Linked DNA regions of Arabidopsis thaliana. The protein of the gene in region 2 interacts with the protein of the main gene of each other region in a pairwise test. Each region holds a gene or a part of one and is shown on either strand. Other genes may lie near its edges. The genes, in order: HB24, AT4G17810, AT1G61660 and AT3G45880.

What was found.
Region 1: the proteins of AT4G17810 (region 2) and HB24 interact in a two-hybrid assay, tested with the Arabidopsis thaliana proteins (one large-scale study listed by BioGRID).
Region 3: the proteins of AT4G17810 (region 2) and AT1G61660 interact in a two-hybrid assay, tested with the Arabidopsis thaliana proteins (one large-scale study listed by BioGRID).
Region 4: the proteins of AT4G17810 (region 2) and AT3G45880 interact in a two-hybrid assay, tested with the Arabidopsis thaliana proteins (one large-scale study listed by BioGRID).

The regions. Positions count from the first base shown.
Region 1 is NC_003071.7:7,970,506-7,973,642, forward strand, and holds HB24 (homeobox protein 24), read right to left. Parts: upstream 1,577-3,137; 5' UTR 1,406-1,576; coding exon 617-1,405; 3' UTR 521-616; downstream 1-520. Other genes in the region: AT2G18340 (late embryogenesis abundant domain-containing protein / LEA domain-containing protein), read left to right, coding at 1-520. UniProt on the Arabidopsis thaliana protein: Putative transcription factor.
Region 2 is NC_003075.7:9,905,226-9,908,563, reverse strand, and holds AT4G17810 (C2H2 and C2HC zinc fingers superfamily protein), read right to left. Parts: upstream 1,744-3,338; 5' UTR 1,647-1,743; coding exon 1,032-1,646; 3' UTR 537-1,031; downstream 1-536.
Region 3 is NC_003070.9:22,753,108-22,758,208, reverse strand, and holds AT1G61660 (basic helix-loop-helix (bHLH) DNA-binding superfamily protein), read left to right. Parts: upstream 1-1,837; 5' UTR 1,838-2,037; coding exon 2,038-2,360; intron 2,361-2,480; coding exon 2,481-2,889; intron 2,890-2,985; coding exon 2,986-3,093; intron 3,094-3,179; coding exon 3,180-3,245; coding exon of another isoform or gene 3,246-3,329; exon of another isoform or gene 3,330-3,374; coding exon 3,375-3,440; intron 3,441-3,534; coding exon 3,535-3,588; coding exon of another isoform or gene 3,589-3,606; exon of another isoform or gene 3,607-3,687; coding exon 3,688-3,839; coding exon of another isoform or gene 3,840-3,843; exon of another isoform or gene 3,844-4,202; coding exon 4,203-4,206; 3' UTR 4,207-4,598; downstream 4,599-5,101.
Region 4 is NC_003074.8:16,868,400-16,873,631, forward strand, and holds AT3G45880 (2-oxoglutarate (2OG) and Fe(II)-dependent oxygenase superfamily protein), read right to left. Parts: upstream 3,187-5,232; 5' UTR 3,146-3,186; coding exon 2,498-3,145; intron 2,410-2,497; coding exon 2,234-2,409; intron 2,038-2,233; coding exon 1,967-2,037; intron 1,861-1,966; coding exon 1,730-1,860; coding exon of another isoform or gene 1,724-1,729; exon of another isoform or gene 1,523-1,723; intron 1,468-1,522; coding exon 1,456-1,467; 3' UTR 515-1,455; downstream 1-514. Other genes in the region: UMAMIT3 (nodulin MtN21 /EamA-like transporter family protein), read left to right, coding at 1-134, 235-439; RUS1 (root UVB sensitive-like protein (Protein of unknown function, DUF647)), read left to right, coding at 3,298-3,999, 4,073-4,348, 4,450-4,506, 4,616-4,814, 4,894-5,009, 5,145-5,232. UniProt on the Arabidopsis thaliana protein: Histone demethylase that demethylates 'Lys-27' (H3K27me) of histone H3 with a specific activity for H3K27me3 and H3K27me2, and involved in the regulation of gene expression. No activity on H3K27me1.

The DNA.
Region 1 (3,137 bases), on a different chromosome or scaffold from region 2:
GGCCTATGATAAGGCGGGCAATGCCAAGGACATGGCCTATGATAAGGTGGGATCTGCTTATGGCAGTGCGCAGAAGGCAAAGGATTCTGGTTATGAGAAAGCTGGTGAGGCCAAAGACTACGCCTACAAGAAGGCTGGCAATGCAAAAGACATAGCTTACGAAAAGGCCCAAGATGCAAAAGACTTTGCATATGACAAGGCGGGTTACGGATACGACAAGGCCGGTGATGTGATTAGGATGGCAACGGATAAGAGCGGTGAAGCCTATGAAGGAGCCAAAGAAAAGTCAAAGAGTGCCAAAGACACGGCAGGAGAAGCAATGGATGATTCTATTGACTACATGAAAGACAAATCACACAATGCCAAAGATGGAGCAACTAGAGGATTTGAAGAAGCCATGGAAAAAGTCGGCGAAAAGTACGGTGTAGCCAAAGAATCCACAAAATATGCTTATGAAACCGCAAAGAAAAAGGCTTCTCAAGTTGCGGGAGAAATAAGAGACCGTTATGCTGAGCTCTAAAATCAATTTGTTATACAATAAACACAAAGTCTTTAAGTTAAAGCAATGTTGAACAAAGAGAAGTAAAAATAGTATATATATATATATAGAAATCTCTTACAAATCCTTCTTCTTTGCTGCTTGTTTATTGTTGTGCATCCAAACTTTAAACACTTGTCTTTTAACTTTAATCTCACGACAAAACCGATTCACTTCATCATCTTCTAGTTTTGTCATTCTCCAACCAATCTTCTCAGCAAACTCCATCATCTTCTCCTTCTGTTCTTCATTAAACTTTGTCCTAAACCGTTTCTTGGGTTGATAATGATGAAACTGATCCACTCCATAACCACTAAAAGATTGATGAAACTTGTTTAGATCCTCCGTCGATGACTCCGCCGCACAACCACCACCACCACCAAAACTCATCATTATCGGAGACACGTGGCGGCTTCCGAGTGGTCTCTGTGAATGGCCAAAGCTATTGAAATTGACAACAAACAAACCATCGATCTCTTTTCTATGGAAGCTCCGGTGGCAATCACAAGCTGCACAAAGAAGAGACTCCACCGTGCCTTCTTCCCCGGAAGACATAAACTCGCCGCAACCGTCGACAACGTGTCCACCGGAGCTCGCCGCGTGATTCTTTTGGCATTCTCTATACCTTGCCTTCCCCGGAGAAGTAGTTTGAGGCCTAGCGTATGATCTTGGAGCATGAGATATAGAAATTGGGTTAGTATCAAGATCCGGATCCGGATCCGGGTCCGACCCGTTTCTTTTGGTGGTGGGTTTCTCTTTGTTGGCGGTTTGGGAGTAAGTGTACGGAGGAAGACGATGATGATCTAGAGCTGATGATTTTCTTCTTGTCATCTCCATTTTCTCATCTTTCTTCTCTCTAACTTCCATCTTTTCTGATCTTGAAGCTTCTGAATAAAGAAAACCCTAATATATAACTTTTCTCTTAAACAAACATTAAAACTTTCTTAGTAATCTCTCTCCAAAACCCTAAGCTATTTTGATTAAAGAAATCATCATAGCTTTAGCTTCTCATAAACCTATAGAGAAAATGAAGATGATAAATATCTCTTCCAAAGTTGAAACCTTTTTAAAAATTTTGACTTTGACTTTTGTATTAGTGATAGCCCACCAAAACCTACTAGACTAATCTCAAGTCTACAAGCAACTAAATTAAAGGGGAAAACTTATCTAACCCCATTTAAGAAGAGATCAAGAAAAGAAAATAAAGTTTAGGTCGTTACTAATGGAGAAAGAGAAAAGAGGAGAGAAGAAGACACTATTGGTCCTTCTAGAGAGAGAATTAGAGAATCGTGTTTCCTATTGCCCATCAATTTCCGAGAGAGAAAAAAAATCTAATGAAGGAGCCAAGTGGGTTTGGTCTGTGCCAATAATAATAATAACACAGTCCACTAAGAAACAAGAGATGGAGAGAGAAAGTAAGATGTGGACTTGTAGCAGACAGTGCCACGTTGTTTCTCTATCATACAGTGTCCGCACATTGGTCGCAATACATCTTTCTTTTATTGGTTTTTAATGTTGAGTAATGATAAAATTATCTTGTGTTAATTAAGTCGAATGTCAACAATTAGTATAGTTGATGAGATTAGTGTCTGTGGCTTAGCGTAAAATTAGCGATGTAAGTAGGTTTAGTACGATCAGTGCAACATATTATGGTGCATGCATTAAATATTGTTTGTAAAATAAAATGAAAGATTGAATACCTTATGAACATTTACTTTGTAAAATAAATAAGATAACCAAAATATTGTTTGTAAAATAAGCGAAAATCGAATTGGTCGAAATATTTGTAATATATGGTATGGTCTCTTATCTACTTTGATCTGATTTTTAAAATTCAGACAACCAAAATAAGATGATTTGGGCAGAATTTTTTCTCAACTCTTTTATTTTGCGCTAATTAGAGTAACCAATCACATTCTTAATGTTTTTTTCCGTACACACCCTTAATGTTTAAAGTTATGAAAACATACAATAAATAAAAAAAATGGAGTAATCGACAGTGTTTTGACCGGATTTGTGTTTCATAATGCAATCCTTACACAATTCTCATTGGAGAGCTTTATTTCATTTTATTTTTTTGGGAAAAACTGGAGAGCTTTTACCGGACTTTTAATATATAAAAACTTATGAAAAAAATTCTTAATAGGCTTTTCTTCCACTTGTCAATTTATATTTAATATTAAATTTTTCATTTTAGTGTAAGTTACATTAAAATAACAATATTTATTGTTAAGATATTCAAAATAAGTATCTAATGGATGAGAATTATGGTTTAGAAGAATAAATATAAAATCAAAACAAAAAAAAAGAACAGAAAGTGGACGAATGATGTTCTACTTGACATATAAAACTAAAACTAAATCTTCAAACCAAGATATATATATATATATATATATATATATATATATATATATATATACTTTTAGTTACGGTTGATTTCTCCAAAATGGAGCCAAAAGATCAGTAGACCATGATAGAAGAACAAAAAAAGGATTTTAGTGCTGGATAATGATTATGATTCGTTGATGACATACAGGATTATTATCATTTGTTTAGTTAGTTGAACAATTATATTTAAATTGAATGGTCAGTCTAGATA
Region 2 (3,338 bases):
CAACGTACATCACATATTATTTGTGAAATGCATAAACTTACAAGAACTTATTCAATCAAGTTTTTGAATTGATCTCTTAGCTAAAGTCGGGGATAAGACCAGGATTAATTCAAGTTTCTCCCCTACATCGTGATAAAAAAGGCATTAAATATCAGATATATTAGAGAACTTTAGTTAGAAAAAGAAAAACCAGATTCTCTGTCACGAATGATACTTCTGAGTCGCCTGAGCATTAGAAAACTAATTATGACAAGATATCCATAAATCGTTCAAAAAAGATATATAGTTAAATATTTAATCAGAAACTAAATCAAAATAATGCATGTACAAACTACTTAACATGACATGGAGTAATAGAAGTATAAAACGAATGGAATAAATTAAAACTCAGTTCAACGCATATCTCTTCATCATTCCAATACTCCAAAACCCTAAAGCATATGGAAATAGTAAGAACAAATTTGCCTTCTACGAAATATGTAAAAAAATATTGGCTTCTTATCTTCTGTTGAGGAATGGTTTTTTTTTTTTTTTTTAAATGTGTAGACGCTTTTAATAATTTGAAAGTTTTGAGCATTTGAAACAAACTACTGATAATGTTCGTTAATTGTAAATTTTCTCCATCAAACGGAAATTTGAATTCAAAGAGCCTTGTTACTTTTCAAGAAAATCATTACTAAACCAAGTAATGATAAAGACAGAATATATAAAAAGCAATAGTAATCAATACATATATGGGTTCTATGGGATTTCTGAGATGAAATTTAATATAAGTATATACAAATCATATAATGCAGGGTTCATTGTATATATTTCGATCTAACCAATCAAATTAAGTAAACATATACTTGTAAACTTACGCTCTGAAATCAAGGAACCAAAGCATGAAATCGAATGAATTTAATTGTGATACACAATTCAAGCCAAATTGAATTCAGAATTTAACAACAACATGTAAATTAAGATTTAAAGAACCTGTGTATGAATAGATATTAATGTGAAAGCCTCGAGTGGGTCATGAAAATGAAATGTCACGGTGGATGGTGCCCTAGCCGAAGTTCAAGATCAAGCTCATCCACTGATGTTCCTGTCGCTTCTTTCATCGAGCCAATGCTCTCATCATCTCCTGTCGAATATTCAATAAGCCGAGGAGGAACTTCTACTGGAGAATTCAACATTGAAAACGGAAGGTTGCTCGGAGGAAACGAAGTCGTACCATAAAGATTCACCATGTCACCAGAATTACCAAAAATGCCACTAGGGTTTTGCAGTTGGTAGAAATGGGACAAACCTTCAATGTTACTCGCCGTGGATTGTATTATAAGTGTCGTTGTAGGCAACGGCGGAGCACAAGAATTGAGTAACATCCCCCCGTGGCCGCTTCTAGCCGCAGCCGCAACGGTGGAACCTTGATGAGCCCTAGATGAGGCGCGGTCACGGCGGTGGACATTCATGTGACCGCCTAAGGCTTGAGCAGAACGGAACTCACGGCGGCAGAAATTGCAAGTGTAAGATCTTGGAGGCCAAGTGGTACCAGAGATGTTGCCTTTAGTGTCTTGCTCAAAGGCTTTGACTTCCCAAGATTCATCATCATCCTCCAATTCTTCAATTTTGTTAGGGTTCCACATCCATGCACCACCGTTCATTCAAGGATGAGTTTTTTTTGAAAAAAAAAGAGAAATCTCAGTAGAAGATGAAGAATAAGAAGAAGATGGGGTTGGTGGATAATGATGTAAATTCAATAATAAATATAAAGATGGACCCGAAATATATACATAGATAGGTCACTTATCTTCAAAATATCATTTTCAGTAAATGAAAGAAATTTTACCATAATAAATTTTACTGAGTGTAAGAGCACACACATTTTGATTATCACATGTATAATTCAAAATTTGCAAATATAATATACTTTCTTTCTATTAAATCCAGTGCAAACATATTTTAGTAACTTATATATGTTAGAAAAGTAAAAATGAAATCTCATTTTCTATTAATTACTTACATATATTTAGCTACTTTCAGAAATTTACATAAACTTTACGTCTTTATAGAACTCTACACTTTTAGGTGTGTTCTTCTATCTTCGTTGGTACTTTGTTACAAAAAGACATTAAATCATAGATTGCTATGCATTTAATTAATATAGGAAGCCCAATTATAAATAAAAAAATAGTGTGCATTTTATATAAATAGGTGAAGATTTACAGAGGAAAAAGTTGGTTGTGACTTTGATGTCCTATGTAAGGTTAAGACAAAGTTTGTTTGCTTTAAATGGTGAAGCAAAGATCTTAGCTTTGCGTGATCATTACTAAGATTCTCTTGTTAGAATCTGACAAATGACTAGAGTAGCTTTACACTGTGACATTATGACCATATATTTTAGATAATCATCCTACATATGGCTACAATTCGAGATATACATACATTACAAAACTATATATATGTATATAGACACACATGTATGGTGTATGAACTCATATTATATATATTATTTTCTATGTAGAAAAAGATATTATTTTTTTTTCTTATGCCAAATGAAAATTTTATTACAATTTGAAATCTAGGAATATTAAACAATACAAATTTTGGGAAAAAAATGAAAAACAGAAGAGCTGAAAGTGATGGGCCTTGATATCCGAAAGATATTTGCCATGTAAAGTTACATTAACAGTGGTTTCGTTGGGAACTTAGTTAGATTTCAACTAGATCGCTCTTTCGTTGGACCATGTGGATTGCATTTGTTTTGTCATGTTTTTCAAATAAATAAAAACATAAAAAGGGACTTAATTTTCCTTGGAAAATAGTCAAATTACAGTACAATGATAAATCTCAGCCCAAATAAAGGTCATTATGGATCCTTGCGTTTGCTTTCAATGGGCCGTTGGACAAGTACGTAATTTAGGCCTTTTAACGCTCTTTTTATTTTATTTTTGTTTAAAATGCGAAAAAAACTTCATCATGATCAGTGATAAAATATGTTTGTTTATAGGAACACTATATGATTTTAATCCAAAATTAATTGACAATGAGTGTACAAATTTAAGTGCTAATTAAAATTGGGTTAAAAGTTTCAATAATTCCAGTCATTTTAATATCATAAGTTAATTATAAGCATATATAATTTTTCGAGTTTATCCATCACAAACATTAGACGAACGATGTTGAAAAAAGCTTAACCCGATAATATGCATCTCCGAGTTAAACATATATACCAATGTTGGTACTTGTATATCTCATTGGGTCAAAACGTTTGTATGTATATAACTATATTATTGTATTGAAGTTGAGAATAAAGGAAAGATAGATTAAGGGAGAAGCAAACAATGACGTTTTGC
Region 3 (5,101 bases), on a different chromosome or scaffold from region 2:
ATTTTTGAATCATTGGACTACCATAAATGATTAGTGTCTTTTTTGTATTACATGTAACGTAAAAATACCATTCTTCAAGCATTCATAACAATTTTTTTTTTGTCAAGATACATAACGTAAATTTGAATTTCGTAATAACGATACTAGCACAATTTAGCTTAGAATATGTCCAATTTTTTTTTTTATTTTGAAAGGAGATAGATATATAAATATTATATACATGGATATCGGTGAAATTATGTTTATTATCTATGCCTATCGTTTGATAAAACTTGTATATTTTATGGACGGTGACACAGCCCGGTTCACTATGCCTCGAGCCGTATAATGATCATAAAGAACAGAACTGGTTACTATTATCAGGTTCAACAAATCCATTTTTTGATATTTTGTGTGGCTATCAGTCTATCACATAAAATGGAAAAAGAATTAAGAGAAAGAAGAAAAACAAAACAATGACTTGTAATTAAAGTGCAATAATTGATTGACTTATCAAATTTATTAGAAGAATAAAATATTTACGGAATTTAGAAAAAGCTAGTTGAAAAGAATAAGGACCGTTTGGTATAAAGAGATTGTGAAAAAAGTCACAAACACAATAGGTCCAGAAACGGTGACGTGACACACAGATCGAAACTCAGCATCGATCGACGATCGTCATCATATACCATTTATCCCTTTAGCCTCAAGCCACAAGAACAAATCTTATTTTATAGTACTATTTTTAACCGAAAGAATCCGATCGACAATGAAATAAATATCGAACTCATATCAAGTGCTAACTCTAGGTTTTGCCATTAATTTTGCGTTTTCCAATCGAGCTAAAAACAATTGATCGTCTATTAAAAAAATAAAAATTCCTATGATCGCTTTTTCGATCTAAAACTAATTTTTAGTAATAGTAATACCTGTTAAAGTATAAATATCCCTCCCAAGTACTGAAAACTCAAACCTGAACGAGCTAGCCTAGGACTCAACTTTTATCTCGAAAGAATCTTTGAATATTACTTTTGAAAATAAGTGAGTCTAATCCTTGAAGATATATGTTTTAAAGTTTTTTTTAGCAAATGCGATTGAGAAAACATATATTTTAACTTCAAGATAATCATTACTGTATGAAAGTATGGATAATTAATTAGAAGAAACGTTGTTCAAAAATTGGTTAGTCGTTTATAATTACCAAAATAATAAAACAATTATTAATACGCTTGCATAGACTAATTAGTTTTTTTTTTTCCTAAGCTTACTAAAGTGATCTGATAAAAATCATGTATGGAAGCATGAAAGTAATAAAAAAATATCAAGTTTCAAAATTTTAGTCTTTCATATTTATGTACATTTATATATATACGCATGCGTAGACTATAATCAGTCATTTTCGTGTTTTGTCTATACAATTACTAAAAACTGATTTAATCAAAATCGTGATATGTTTTCTATTTCTGACCACTTAATATAAACGATCGATTTGTAGAATTTGATGGCAACCAATCAAAGGTTACCGTTAGATATAATGTCTATATATAAATAGTATCCCCTTTTGGCATCTTGCATAATAGTACCAAACACCTATCTAATCTCAAATTAAATATTTAAATATTTATAAAATGAGGATCATTATCACTTCTTCGAAAAGCTAAGCAGCAAAGAAACAAATCTCACAAAGACAGTTGTTCTTATAATAATAGAAGAAAATTGAGGGATTAGGAACACTATTATTACAACATCTTTCTGTCAAATAAAATATTTAGCTTAAGGAAAAAATTTAAAATCAAGATTATTTAATTAAAAAAATCACATAGGAATGTTATGATGATATAAGTTTTTGTCTTCAAATGTCAACTAAATTCCGGTAATTTCCACACACTTGTCCGTACTTGCCTATATAAACATACACACCCTCATAAACATATATCAAAATTTTACACTTATGCTCTTCATATCACATACAACAAACTCATATATATAAAAACTTTAACCTTCGTATAGCAACGATCTAGTAGAAAGCTTATACTAAAACTTTCTGATTCTCTTAATATGGCGGAGGAGTTTAAAGCTACGGCATCGATTTGTGGTGGCGGAGGTGGCGCGTGGTGGAACTCGCCAAGGAGCGTTATGTCTCCTTCGGATCATTTCTTGTCACCATGCTTCGGAGCGGCTATCACTTCCAATGATTTTAGCTCGCAAGAGAATCATCTCAAATCTAGGATGACTTGTACGGACAACAACAACATCGTTTTCGGGCAGCGAGAGGCGGATTCTGACAGTGGAGGAAGTACCGTGACGATGGACTCGACGTTGCAGATGATGGGTCTAGGGTTTTCCTCAAATTGTTCTTCAGATTGGAACCAAACCATTTTGTAAACTTCTTAAAGAAAAACCCTAACTTAATTTTTTTTGTTCACTTTCTTGATGAACAAGATTGAAGATTTTTAATAATAATCATGAGATCTCTTTTGTTCTTGTTTTGTATTTTTCAGACAAGAAGACTTAAACTCAAGCTTCATAAGGAGCTCACAAGATCAAGATCATGGCCAAGGATTCTTATCCACAACTACTTCACCTTATATACTTAATCCAGCTTGTTCTTCATCTCCATCAACTTCTTCGTCCTCAAGCTTGATACGAACCTTTTACGATCCCGAACCAAGTCCATACAACTTTGTCTCCACCACAAGTGGTTCAATCAACGATCCTCAACTTTCTTGGGCTAATAAGACAAATCCTCATCATCAAGTAGCTTATGGACTAATTAACAGCTTCTCTAACAACGCAAACTCTCGACCCTTTTGGAATTCTTCATCAACCACTAACTTAAACAACACGACGCCGAGCAATTTTGTAACCACTCCGCAGATAATATCTACTCGTTTGGAGGACAAAACCAAGGTAAATTATCTCATATATGTCAAAATAATTTTGCTACTATATAAGTTTTGTGGCTATATTATTGAATTTATTTATTTATTTATTTTTGTTGAGAAGAATCTGAAGACAAGAGCTCAGAGTGAGTCTTTGAAGAGAGCAAAGGATAATGAATCTGCGGCGAAGAAACCGAGAGTCACCACGCCTTCACCGTTGCCAACTTTCAAGGTACATGATCATATTTCAAGATTTGTTTAAGACCTTTTATTTTAATTCAATTTCTTGGTGGATAAAATGGATTGTATATGTAACAGGTGAGAAAAGAGAATCTAAGGGACCAGATAACTTCATTACAACAACTAGTTTCACCTTTCGGAAAGGTGAATGATTTATGTGTTTACTTTATTTTATATGGCTTAATATATACAACCAAAAGCATTTATTTTCCCTTGGTTATGTATTGAGCTTCTTAGTTTGTTTATTTTGTATATCTTTGGGTTAAACTTCAGACAGATACTGCATCTGTTCTCCAAGAAGCTATAGAGTACATCAAGTTCCTTCACGACCAAGTCACTGTACGTTTCTTGTGATTTCTCTCCTAACTCACTGAATTCATAAAACCCTAGAAATGAGCAAATTTTTAAGCATATTAATGTTTTTTAAATACAGGTTCTAAGCACTCCATACATGAAACAAGGTGCCTCGAACCAACAACAACAGCAGGTTCAATACACGATCTAGTGTTTTAGTTTTGTCCAAGTTGGAGTCTTCGTGCTATAATCATGGTTAAATAAGTACTAATTTCAGTATGGATTCATGTAGATATCTGGTAAATCGAAGAGTCAAGATGAAAATGAGAATCACGAACTAAGAGGACATGGTCTATGTCTCGTCCCAATATCAAGCACGTTTCCGGTGGCTAACGAAACAACAGCCGATTTTTGGACACCAACGTTTGGGGGCAACAATTTCAGGTAGAGAAGGTGAATTACGTATATCATACGGTTCTTAATTAGCATTAAGATATTATTTAATAATGCTTAGCATAAAAATAAAAGAAAATAAAATTCACAAGTCATGATCAAAGATTGAATCATTACTTGGAGAAAAAGTAGAGATGGGAGAAGAAGAAGGTGACTCTTCAAAGGTGGGCAGAGGCAACAATAGTGTTGGAGGGGACCAACTACGAAAGCAAGAATGATTTAGGGCTTAGAAAATTTGGGATAATAATCTATCATAAACTAATAGATAGATATATTTTTAAAAACATTAACTTACATACTCTCATGTTATATATGTAATAATTAACCTAAATTTCACTTTTTAATTATATATAGGTGATTAAAGAGAGAGGGTTGTGGTTGTCAAGACGGATGGGAACATATGCTAAATTCAGCTTGGAGACTCTAAAGCATAACAATAATTTTTAATGTATTTTCTTCTTCTTTCAATATTTTAAGGGGGGTTTATTGCTGAATTTAGCATATATGGGTTGTTTTTATGTTGAATAACCTTTTGTTCCTGTCATTGTTCTTGAATATATATATATACATATTTTTGTCGTTGGTAACATCTTTGTTAATCACTTATTAAAGTTAGAGAACATAATAATTGGTGGTTTGTCATATGAAGTTCTTTGTTGTTTTTATAGAGTTGTTTTTTTCATGTTTAATCATAAATTTTAATTTTAACAATCACAAAACCAACACTTATAACCTAATTGTTTGTGATAGTGCCGTTACTCTTACATAGTTACATTTATGTCCAAACTTGCAAACTTGCACATTTTCTGGATACATGCATGTATTTATGTTCGTACATATCCATGTATAAATATGTGTCCATATGGATTCAACTTTTTGTTGGTTCGATTAAGAACTATATATTATGGAAATTCAGTAGTGGAAGCCAGTAGAATAGCGGCCCACACTGCTTCCTACTTTATGATTTGAATATACATATATGATTTTAGTATAGATACCGATAAATATATACTGATTTGCATTCAACATCATTTATGTTTACAGAAAAAAGATTATTCATATGTTACTATAAAGACATATATGTGTGTCTAATCTATCAAATGCCACTCAAAAATATATGCAATGCAAGAACAGAATTCTTACCTTAGATCTCAATATCGATAAAATACTCAACAAGTCCCATGCATGATTAGTACGTATTTATTATTAAAAAACAAAATCTCAAATTATGCCCTATTGGAAATTAATGTTGG
Region 4 (5,232 bases), on a different chromosome or scaffold from region 2:
CTCAACTATGGTCTCTTGACATGGTCAAATAAGATCTTGGGTCCTTCCTTGGTTGCTCTCTATAATCCTCTTCAACCCGCAGCCTCAGCTTTCTTGTCCAGAATCTTCCTTGGAAGCCCTATCTACTTGGGGAGGTTTAATATCTCTCTCCTTTTCTCTTAGCTATTCTCAGCCATCAACGGGATGTGTCTGAAGTTTCCTAACTAACTAGGCTTTTTTCTCCTCCTCTCTTAGCATTTTAGGCGGATGTGCAATCATAGCAGGTCTTTATAGTGTCACCTGGGCATCTTACAAAGAAAAGAAAGCGGCAGCAGCAATGGCTGTGATCCCGATCACCTCAAAGGAAGCTGAACCCTTGATCTACAAGGACCATAAAAACAAACCAATAGGACATCTATTCACAAAATCTCCCATCTCTTCACCAAAATCCGATGATTGAACAAAAACTCTGGCTTCTTGAATTACTTGGGTGCTCCGATGTTTTCTTAACCTTTTGCCGACGAGAGAGTGACTATTTTATTTTCTAACAGTATATATATGCATATAAACATCAATGTTTAACAGAGTCTCATTATCAGGTTTGATGTCCTCAATGCGAAAACCATTCTGCATAATACTCGAAACCATAGCCTCCAACAGTTAAAACTGTCTGACCCTCCATAGCTCTGAACACCTTCTCTGCATTTATCACCAACCTATACTTCCTGTACATATCAATCAGCCCACTTTGTATCAAACCATTTGATTCAAACCCGAGCTTTATGGAATTCACATGCACTCGCTTCCAAAATCTAGCCCCATCACTAACATAAGTGGAAGAAAGATACAAATTTGTGGCAGAGGGAGTGAACTTGCTTCCCTGATGTTAAATCTGAAATCAAGGCACATGCTTTTAGAACACATCACATTATGTTGTTCAACATAGCAACAAGGAGAGAAGTGGCATTTTGGTAACCATCCATTGCAATACAGGCTATACAGCTGATGATAACAATTGCAGAGCAACGAAAATCTCTGTAGGGCATTTATTCCATATGTGGCGGGCGAGGTCCAGGCGCCAACATGATACACACATCAAAAAGACGGTTGAGAAACTGCAAGGTTGGTCTTACCCCAGATTTCAAAATGTGAACTTGCAGCTCTATAAGCCCCACCAGCGATCACGAGTCAGTTGATTTCTGAGCCAGAGAAGAGTACAGCTCTTCGGTTCCAGACGGAGAAAGACAATCCAGTAACCCAAGAATGTCGGAAGTCAAGCAACAAGGAGTTCGATCCTCTGGATGGCGTTAATAACGGCAGGTTATGTATGGGATTCATGACAAGAAGTTGACCATGGACCCAGTTCCAGAGTTTTTATCTGAATTACTCTGGAGATTTTAATTAAAGAACATATTGAACCAAACACAGCCACAAGAGCTTTTATATAGATGATGGCTTCAGAGTTCCACCATTAAATCAGGGAGCAATCTGAGACAAAAATGAAGTCATCAACAAAAGAGATACAATTCAGAGAATTTCAGAGCTTTTCTATCATTTTATGGTTCTTTATAATTCTGGGAGACAAAACTTAAGTTATAGTGGAGAAAGCACCAATGGACATGACAAGTAATAAAATTAAGATCTTCTTAGTCTAAATATTACATAATGTAAATTTAAGATCTTCTCCGAGCTTTCTACCATGACTGAGAAAACCTGAACTCAGCAAAAATGTTGTTTCATCTCTTCATACCTCTGCATCACTGGATTCTGAATCTTCGTCTTCTCTCCAAGAAAGAACTGGATTGAGTGAAGATGACTTGTATAATAAAGATTGCAAGAAGTTAAAATAAGCATACTTGATGTCAAACTGCATGTCATACCCTGCAAATTAGATGCATACATAGCTTATTAGAGGCAAGGAGAGCCGAAAAATACTGGCTTGCCACTGAAGACAAACAGATGATGGAAGCAAAACTAAAACTCTTACAATAGTTCACTGCAATGGTATAACCTCCATCTCCTGGGGTTTGACTAACATGGTGAAACCACATGCTTGGCCTGCAAAATTCAGAACCATTCTGAGTCAGAATCATGACTAGAAAATCCAATTGTGTAGTAGGTCTATCACCCATTTCTAATCTTTGTTTCTTATAAAGCAAAGGTAAGACTGAAGTAGATACATTAGTGATCCAAATTAAGCCAAAAAGTTTCTGAGAATTTTCAATCTGTGGAGCTATGGGATTTAAATTCTTACAGGTAAAGAACCTCGCCAGCCTTGACAGTACAATGAAACGGCTTCGGGCCATCAAAGAACAACGGAAATTTCAATCTCTCGCTTGCTTCCTTCTCTGGCGAAGGGTATGGATCAACACTAGACCAAGGTACATGCCTAACCGGCTCCTCAACCTCAAGCTTGAACGCATCAGTATCCTATAACGATTCAAACTTTATCTCATTCAACATCACTTAACAAGAAACCAAACTCATTGAAACTTATTAATCTAAAAATCTCACAGACTCGGTGGTAAGAGTAATTAGCTGCCGGATACTGTTCGATATAGAGACGGTGAACATCAGTCGGAGGAAGAAGAAGGAAATGTTTCTCCCCTGAAACAACAGCGTAAAGATTCTCATAGTGATCTTTATGAAATGAAGTCACGGAGTCATCAGTACCAATCCAAAGGTTCACAGCTTCCGGCGAACAACCAAATGCCTCCGTAGCCCACTCAATATCACCGTCGCAGTCTAACGCAACCGTCGAATACTCCGTTCTAAAACAATCGTTTTGCTGTTGCAAATACCCAACCTTCAGTCCTTTACACGACGATTGAACAACCTTAAGAGCCTCCGGGAACAGAACTTTCTCAACATGAGCCGAAGCGAAACAAAGATCACTATCTCCGGTGACGGCGTCTGCGCAGCCGTTAGGAGTGAGATGTAGCGAGACAACGTCATCTGACAAAGCTCCGGTGAGGTAAGCCGGATCTGACCAGAGTTTTAACGCCGGCCAATGAGTAATAGCTTTGGAGATTACACAAGGCTTGCTCTGAGACACGTAGTTTCGGAGAAACTTCACCGGAGACGGTTGAGAATCAAAACGATCGATTTTAGTTCCTAAGCTCAATTCTCTCACTTCTCTCCATAAATTCTCTATCTCTTTAGCCATTGACGAAAAAAAATTGGCGGGACAAAAAATTTGGGGGTTTTAACACATAACCAAGAACCCTAATTTATATTTAAAGAAAAAAAGAAAAAAAACTGTTTTTGTTATAAAAATAGGATTTTTGAAATAAACTTGTTTCGAAGAGGAAGAAGAAGATGAGTTGTTCTTATCTACTTTCTGGTGACGCTTCCGTCGTCGCTTCACGGCGGTGGAGTGATGTTTCTTCCCGGCAGCGTTTATTTCTCCCACGGCAATCACTCCGGCAGCCATCGGGTTCTTCGTTTTCCCGATGCGTCCGATTAGTCGCTAATGTAAATGATCATTTCAGTAAACAATCACTCGCGACGAGAAATTGCTTGGCTTCAGTGTTTAGTGCAGACTTGGGTGGAAGTAACGGTAATAATGATAACGGAAATGGCGGCGGTGGCGGAGGAGACGGCGGCGGCGATAACTCTGATGATTCTTCTTTCGATTTGAGATACCTCTGCTTTCTTTTATTGGGCTTGTCTTGCTTCTTCCATTTCCGATTATCAGCTGCGTCCGCCATAGCTAAAGATCAAAATTCGGATAGTAATGGAGATGCTGTGAAAGAGACGGTTTGGGAAGTGAGAGGAAGTAAAAGGAAGAGACTAGTTCCCGATTTTGTCAAAGATGAGTTCGTCTCTGAAGAATCTGCTTTTGAATTATCATCTTCTCTAACTCCTGAGAATCTCCTAGCTCAATGTAGAAACCTTCTCACTCAATTCCTTCTTCCTGAAGGTTTTCCCAATAGTGTAACTTCTGATTACCTCGATTACTCTCTCTGGAGAGGTGTTCAAGGTATTGCTAGTCAAATCAGCGGCGTTCTTGCCACTCAGGTAGACGACTGAGCTTATCATCTCTCTTAGGCATTTTCACAAACACTTGGTGTTCATTATATTGTGTTGGTAGTCTTTGCTTTATGCAGTTGGGTTAGGTAAAGGAGCAATTCCTACAGCTGCAGCTATCAATTGGGTGCTTAAAGATGGAATTGGGTATCTTAGTAAGATAATGTTGTCGAAATACGGACGACATTTCGATGTTCATCCCAAAGGATGGAGGCTATTTGCTGATCTTCTTGAAAACGCTGCTTTTGGTATGGAGATGCTTACGCCAGTCTTCCCTCAGTTTTTCGTTATGATCGGTGCTGCTGCTGGTGCTGGTCGATCTGCTGCTGCATTGATTCAGGTTCTGTTCTTGTCTCTGAAAGCTCTATTTGCATAGCTCTAAGTGCAGCATTTGTTATAGTTTAGTATTTTCTATTGAACTTATCATTTACTTGTCTGCAGGCTGCTACTAGAAGTTGCTTCAATGCTGGCTTTGCTTCTCAAAGGAACTTTGCTGAGGTCTACAATAATTTTTATATGGCCTTAGTCTTGATCACTTATCAACAGCTATTTGTTTTTCTCAACTATTCTGGGTCTCTAGTGTATGCATCAACAACTTCTTTTGTAGGTAATTGCCAAGGGTGAAGCTCAAGGAATGGTGAGCAAGTCAGTGGGTATTCTGCTAGGAATAGTGGTTGCCAATTGCATAGGAACCTCTACAAGTCTTGCCCTTGCTGCATTTGGAGTTGTGACTACAATCCATATGTATACCAATCTCAAATCTTACCAGTGTATCCAGCTCCGGACTCTAAACCCATACCGTGCAAGTAAATCCCACTCCTGCAGACGTCCAATTCATTCAAATCGTCTTACAAGACGAAAATAACATCTCTGTTTATTTTGCAGGTTTGGTTTTTAGTGAATATCTAATCAGCGGCCAAGCTCCTCTAATCAAGGAGGTCAACGATGAAGAACCGCTCTTCCCAACAGTTCGGTTTTCAAACATGAAATCTCCAGAAAAGGTAAAAGTGTTCATTCACCTTATTATACACTCTGAGATCTCTTATCAACTAGTTTAAAATCTAAAAACTTTCTCGGATGAACAAAACAATACTTGATGACCTGATTGATTGATTCTTAGTATCTGCTCTATTCAGCTGCAAGATTTTGTCTTATCATCAGAAGCAAAAGCAGCAGCCGCAGACATAGAGGAACGGCTTCAACTAGGGTCAAAGCTCAGCGATG